2 linked regions of the Caenorhabditis elegans genome follow. The protein of the gene in region 1 purifies or fractionates together with the protein of each later gene. This does not show direct contact. Each region holds a gene or a part of one and is shown on either strand. Other genes may lie near its edges.

Region 1 (3,754 bases):
AAAAATGTCGAAAAAAGTTCATTTACCATTTGAATTTTTAGAAAATTGAAGAAAAATCGTTCAATCAGTAAAAAACTACATTTTTTAAGAAAAAAAAATTCAAAAACCTCACGGCAATTTGCCGATTTGCCGGAAATTTTCAATTCCGGCAATTTGACGATTTGCCGATTTTTCAATTTGCCAGAAATATTAATCTTCGGCAAATTGCCGATTTGCCGGAAATTTTCAATTTCGTCAAATTACCTTTTGCCGATTTGCCGGAAATTTTTAATTCCGGCAGATTACTGATTTGCTGGAAATTTTCAATTCCTGCTATTTGCCGGTTTGCCGATTTGCCGAAAATTTGCAATTTGCCGGTTTGCCGGAATTTGACAATTCCGGCAATGTTCCGATTTGCCGGAATTGTTAATTTTCTCTAATTCGCCGGTTTGTCAGAATTTTCCAATTCCGGCAATTCGCCGGTTTGCCGGAATCGGTCATTTTCGCTAATTTGCCGATTTGCCCGAATTTTCCGATTCCGGCAATTCACCGATTTGCCGGAAATTTTCATTTTCGGCATATTTCCGATTTGCCGGAACTGTTCAATTAAGACCGTTTGCCGGTTTTCCGATTTGCCGGAAATTTTTATTTTCGGCAAATTGCCACTTTGCCGGAAATTTTCATTTTCGGCGATTTGTCGAAAATAAAAATTTCCGGCAATTTGCCGGTTTGCCGATTTCCGAAAATTTTAAATTCCGGAGATTTGCTGATTTGCCAGAAAATTTTTGGCAAATTGCCGGTTTCCTGGAATTTTTCAATTCCGGCAATGTGCCGATTTGCCGGAATTGTTAATCTTCGTCGATTTGCCGGTTTGTCGGAAATTTAAATTGGTTTAAATTATCTGGAAAACTATTATGACCCATAATTCCCGGATTCAAAAAAAAATCATAAAATCTCTGCAAATATATTTTTTTTATTTCAGAAAATGATAGACATGAAAGATCATTGCCGTGTAAATATGGTTGCTGCGTGTTCATCACAAGTGTATGCAACTGGATGGTGTGCTCATGGACCACATGGAATAATTGTAGACACTCAACAACAATCAATTTTTGTTGCCGATCAAATTGCCGCAGACTTTGCACAATTTAAAGATAGCACATCTAATGGAGTTGAAGAATTACTTGAAGATCGAAAAGTTCCATTTATATCATGGGATGAATGGAAACAAATTGATAGACAAGAACAAGACACTGGAAAGCTATCTGGAAAGATTCGAGAAAAGTTCACAACTTTTGAGAAATTTCTCACGAAATTGAAGAAATGCAATTAGAAAATGCCATAAATTATCGAGTTTTCTTTCACCCTTTTTTCCGGGTTTTACTGGAATTTCAGTACATTTTCTGTATTTAACTAGACACTTCTAGATAGAATAAATCTTTTTTTTTATTTTTTTATTGGATTTTTTTCCAGATTTTGGTCATTTTGCCAAATTTATTACCTTATTTGAATTATTTGATATTCTGATCCAAAAACAAATTGCATTTTAATGAGAAATTGGAAAATTCCCAGTAATTTTTGAATTTTTTTGATAAATATTTTAAAAATTTGCAAAAATATTTGAAAAAAGTATCAAATTTCTCATATATTTTCCAAAGAAAAAACAATTAATTTATAGAAAAGTCTGAAAAACGTTGAAAAAGGTAAAAATAGGAATTTAAAAATTATATAAAACGACCGATTTTTAATTGTTTTTTAAATTTTGATTAATTTGAAAAATTTAAAAAAAAACTTTTTTTTGGTATATATTTTTTTCAGATTTTGGCAATTCTGCCAAATTTATTACCTTTAATTTGTGTGATATTTCTCTAATTTTAAAAAAAGTTCCTTACGAAACTATCAGGAAATTTTACAAAAAATTTTAATTAATAAAATGCTTGAGAAGAAACTTTTTTAAAGAAATTTTCTCACCAGTAGTTTCAAATTTCTCATGATTTTTCTGAAGAAAAATTAAATCAAAATTTCTTTTTTTTTTTTCGAAAAAGATCAGAAATATAAATTTAAAAAAATATTTTTTCAGAAAACTCTAATGAATTTGGAATCACGAATTCTGGACGGAAAGCCTGCGGGTTACTGTAGCAGCTCAGAAGGTGAAGAGGACGATTTCAAAGTTGTAAACGATGAGGATGAGCATCAGGCGAATGTAATGAAGAGAATGGGACCATCTTCGAATACTGGAGCAAAAGGAGTGCTCAATGAGTTCAAAGCGTTCAGAGAACAGACTAGATTGTGAGACTATTTAAAAAATTCTTAAAAATTAAAAAAAAAATTTTGTAAATTTTCAGAGCTGTCGAATCAAAAAATCAGAAATTAATTGAGCAAGCGAAGAAAGGAATGATGATTGGATCGAAAGAAGAACGAGAAAAAGCACAACGAGAAGATGATGAAGATGAGGATTTTGAGATGACTTTGGAGGGATTAAAAGCGAAGAGACTTAGAGAAATGAGAAAAATTGCAGCAAATCGGGTTATTGAAATGACTGATAAGGTATAGGAACAATCAAAAAATACTTTTTTTTTTTTATTGTGAAAACTTTTGAAAACTTTTTAGAAAATATGGGAAAAAAAGAAAATTTCTCCAAAATGAATAAGAAAAATTGGCAAAAATTACCAGAAAACTGGAAAAAAAATTTTTTTTTCACTTTCCGAGTAAAAAATTAATTTCGAAAAAAAAAATACCAAAGATTTTCGATTTTTTTTCTAGAAAATTCAAAAGTCTCTCAATCTTTTTCTAGAAACATTTAAAAACTTGTCGAAATTTCAAAAAATCAAAATTTCTAAAAGTTTCGATATTTCCTTTTTTGATTTTTTAGAAAAAAACTTTTAAAATTATTTTTACAATTTTTAGTCGGAAATTTATTTTTTTTTAATTCGAAAAATTTCGTTATTTTTCAATTTTTTTCCACAATGACGTCGAGAAATTAATATTTTGATTTTATTTTTAAAAAATCAATTTTATTTTTAATAAAATAATAATTTTTTCTAATTTCTCGACATCGCCCCGTTGTCGTTAAAAATTCAAATATCGGCATTTTTCGAATTAAAAAAGTTGCTTTCTTTTCTTAAAAAAATCAAAAAAGGATATATCGAAACTTTTTCGATTTTTTCTCGAAAATTTAAAAAAAATCAGGTTTCCGTTTTTCGAGAAAAAAAAATTGCAAAATAATAGAAATTTTGATTTTTTTTTAAATTTCGACTAAAAATAAATAAAAAACGATTTTTTAACGGAAAATGATAAATAATGAAAACTAAAATTATTCAATTTTCCAAAAAAAATTAGCTTTTCTTCTTCATTTTATCGATTTCAAACATCCTTCAAAAATGCTCCAAGAAATTTCAGAAACAATATTCGGATGCCGTTGATGGAAGTTCATCATATCTTCTCTGTGTTCTAATATATGAGCCTGAATCCGATGAATGTGAATATTTGACACGAATCGTTAAGATTCTCGCCGCCGATTGTCCGAAAACCAAATTCGTTCGAGCGACAAGCACTCTTCTTGAAATGAGCAGAGCATTTGTATGTAATACGTTTCAGGGTCCCGACACGACAAATTTTTAGTTAAATGCGAAAAGGTCTTGCGCCTTTGAAGAGTACTGTAGTTTCAAACTTCCGAATTTTCAAAAGTTTTAAATTTTTTTTCGAAAGCACTATACACGTGATGTGAGAGTTTCTCATTTCGGCTTGATCTACGTAGATCTACAAAAATGCGGGA
Region 2 (3,694 bases), 1.6 Mb from region 1:
GTCCTTAGCGATACCAAGAGCCTCCTGAAAGTCATTTCATTTACATCAAGAATTTAGTTATTCAAATACCTGATAAGCGATTCGCGACTTGTGTGCATGCTCTTCTCTGTTGATATCGTCGTATTGGACCAGATACCTAAAATGGTCGGCGACCATGCCACCGAAGAGAGCCTTAGTTTCATCATTTAGCGCATAGTCTCAAGCCAAACAGGCGGGGCAGTTCAAAAATAGTTTGATATATAGTTTGATATAGTTTGATGAATAGTGGCGTGGAGTACGGTTTCGCGGCAATTCAAATACTACTATTCTTGAGACCAGACGAATCGGACGATTAACGGCGGCGAGGGATTCGGATCGGGGGAACCCAATCTGTGGGACGGGCCACGCCCACGATCAAATTTTGCAACCTCCGCACGGTTCTATGGGCGTGGCCAATCCCCCGATGTCAACAAATTTTAAAAAAAACCTTCCCCGATTTTATAAATATTTCAGCTTGAAATCGCGATGTTCATTTGCGAACTCGAGGCATTTTCGAAACGTTAAATGTTCCCGCGCAATAATGCTCCGCTGAACAGTGCACGCTTTTTGTGTAGATTCATTTAAATATTCATTTTCCGTCAGATTTCATGTAGAAACCCAAAGATTCGCTCATTTCGCTGCTCGATCTTTTCTTTTTCTTCATTCAACCGTATATTATATGCATTTTTCGTTTAAACGTTTTTCAAAAATTTTTAAAAATTGCTTACAATCTTCTTTGTAAAAAGAATATATTTTGCAACCAATTTTTTCGATTCTCCATGGAAAACTTATCAATTTAAACTGCATTCACTGTTACACTGATAATGCTTTGAACGACGGCGGTCGGAGAACTTCCAACCGATTACTGTTCTCCAATTTCATGTTTCTAGAAAAAAAGAAATTTCTGTCGTTTCATAACATGTTTTAACACGCAGAGCCTTTTTTTTTCGAATGAACCGCCATTTTCTTTAAAGGCGCAAGCTATTCCCTCTGCGCGATATTTCGCCGCGAAAAAAGAAGCCCCGCGAAAAAACGTATTCGAACCGCGGAATTTCCGCGAATTTGTTGCTGGTTTCTTCTAGAATTCAACGATTCAATGCTCATTTCATCACAATTTTTTTTTGTAAAATTATCCTTCTCGCTTTTATGCTCCTCTTGCCCTCAATTTTCTGTCTAAAAGCTATCATTTCCTCTGATTTCTTCCTCGATTTTCAAATGTTGGCCCAAAATAGTGATTTTTTCTTTAATTATATCCTAATCCCCACCAACACGATTTAGCAATTCTCGAAAATTATTTTTTTGCGTTGTTCAGGTAAAAGTCCTGACGAAACCTCCTGAGTTTTGTGTAACGTGCTCACCGAAAGATTAGTGTGCTTGCTGCGCCCGTTGTCACCACTGCCATTCATCCTTCTATTCCCGTGTTTTCTTATCAAATGCCCAAAAAATCTGAAATTTTTTGTGTAGACAATGCTATATATGAGGAGCGAATGTGTGCGCCAGAGAAAAAGACGGACAGACACAAATTGAGTGAGTGTGCGTTGCCCACTTTAGTTGTTGTCATGCGACGGCGGCGGCACGCGCTCTCTCATCGGCCGGCACTGCTGTCCATCGATTTTTCTTCTTTCAAACGTCGTGCGGGCTGTTTCGAATGTTCTAGGGCTCTCCGTTTCGATTATTACTCTCGCCTATGTTCTTCTCTTTTCGTTCTCAATATTTCATTATAAATTTTGTTTCAGAAGACTTGCTCACTGAAAAAATGTCCGATACCGTGGAAGAGCTCGTTCAACGCGCCAAGCTTGCCGAACAAGCCGAGCGATACGATGATATGGCTGCCGCCATGAAGAAAGTAAGATAAAACATCATTTACGGAGGTTTCAAATTTACTATTTTTCAGGTGACCGAGCAGGGACAGGAGCTTTCCAACGAAGAGCGTAACCTTCTCTCTGTTGCCTACAAAAACGTCGTCGGAGCTCGCCGTTCATCGTGGAGAGTTATCTCTTCCATTGAGCAAAAGACCGAGGGATCCGAGAAGAAGCAACAACTCGCCAAGGAATACCGCGTCAAGGTAACTACACCAAGCAAGATTTTATTAATTTCAAGAATTTTAGTAACTTATTTACATTATTTCAGGTTGAGCAAGAACTCAACGACATCTGCCAAGATGTGCTCAAGCTCCTCGACGAGTTCCTCATTGTCAAGGCTGGAGCTGCTGAGTCGAAGGTCTTCTATCTCAAGATGAAAGGAGATTACTACAGATACCTCGCCGAGGTCGCTTCAGAGGATCGCGCTGCCGTTGTTGAGAAGTCCCAGAAGGCTTACCAGGTATTTGAAAATAACTAAATTCTTGATGTAAATGGCATGACTTTCAGGAGGCTCTTGATATCGCTAAGGACAAGATGCAGCCAACCCACCCAATTCGCCTTGGACTTGCCCTCAACTTCTCTGTCTTCTACTACGAGATCTTGAACACTCCAGAGCACGCTTGCCAACTCGCGAAACAGGCTTTCGATGATGCTATTGCTGAGCTCGACACGTTGAACGAGGATTCGTACAAGGACTCGACCTTGATCATGCAACTTCTACGTGACAATCTCACTCTCTGGACATCTGACGTTGGAGCTGAAGATCAAGAGCAGGAGGGAAACCAGGAAGCTGGAAACTAAGTACGATTTCAAAATGTTTTATTGCCATTATATAAAGCTGACCTTTTTCCTCTTTTCCTTTCACATCAAATCTTGCTTCGAAAAAATAGTTTCGGTTTTCAGAGAGCTGAACTCCGTTCTCTTTCCTCGCATCTCTTCAACTTTCAGTTATCCTCCAACATTTCCGGTACGTTAGCCGAGAGAGTTGCCTAATCACCGTTTTTGTTTTAGACTTAACGTATTCACCAATACTCCATACAACACTGCGCAATAGCATCATGAAAGAAAATTCGGTCTTCAAGTGCTCTAGATCTCCAAGCCATAATTCTCTTCATGCTCTATTTCGCTGTAATTCACTCCGTCACTATTGTCATTCCTAAAATGGCGTATTGTTCTATGATTATTATGTGCTGTAAAGTATAATGAACCCCCATCTTCCATTTTTCTCTTATTATCCCCGATCTTTATTTTTAGATCTTTTTGAACATAAATGTTTGGTGAACTTTTCCGGTTGTCCGAATTTCATCACAACTTTCCAGGAGTTTTTCGAGTAATGGAATGGAATTTATTTTCAGATTTCGATGAAGGAGCATAAATAGGATAAAACATTTGCATTAACCTCTTAGAAGGTCTCAACACGAAAAATTAAATGAAATGTGAAAAAGTGTGCGCCTTTAAGCTGCCGAAAATTTTTTGATAGTTTCTTCCACGATTCGTTAAAAATTAAGTGTTTTATGGTAACATTTGAGTGTTCTTTTGAAAATAAATATATTCTTTGTCGAAAAACTATGAAACATCGATAAAAATTCCGCAGCAATAGAAGTTTAAAATTACAGTACTCTTTAAAGACTCACACCTTTTTGCGTTCAACAAATATTAGACGTGTCGAGACTAAGTACCGTACTTTTGGCGCAAAAAGCTCAAAATTTCGCTCCTGGGCAATATAATTTTCGGAAAAAAACTTAATTCTGGAGACTTCATGTGTTTTCACAGATCATGACGAGACCGATTGAGAAACATTTGGAAATACATTT

What was found. Proteins that work in one complex are often made in the same cells at the same time.
Region 2: the proteins of mau-8 (region 1) and par-5 purify together in Caenorhabditis elegans (affinity purification with western blotting, with the first as the bait; one study listed by BioGRID). This does not show direct contact.

What each region holds. Positions count from the first base shown.
Region 1 is NC_003282.8:13,375,957-13,379,710, forward strand, and holds the start of mau-8 (Phosducin domain-containing protein), read left to right. Parts: upstream 1-2,059; 5' UTR 2,060-2,068; coding exon 2,069-2,268; intron 2,269-2,324; coding exon 2,325-2,526; intron 2,527-3,378; coding exon 3,379-3,558; intron 3,559-3,754. Other genes in the region: Y62E10A.6 (NADPH:adrenodoxin oxidoreductase, mitochondrial), read left to right, coding at 962-1,312.
Region 2 is NC_003282.8:11,819,978-11,823,671, reverse strand, and holds par-5 (14-3-3-like protein 1), read left to right. Parts: upstream 1-1,754; 5' UTR 1,755-1,774; coding exon 1,775-1,864; intron 1,865-1,912; coding exon 1,913-2,083; intron 2,084-2,148; coding exon 2,149-2,340; intron 2,341-2,387; coding exon 2,388-2,681; intron 2,682-2,783; 3' UTR 2,784-2,847; intron 2,848-2,891; 3' UTR 2,892-3,166; downstream 3,167-3,694. Other genes in the region: M117.3 (14-3-3 domain-containing protein), read right to left, coding at 1-24, 70-156. UniProt on the Caenorhabditis elegans protein: Required to modulate lifespan, in concert with hcf-1, acting redundantly with 14-3-3-like protein ftt-2.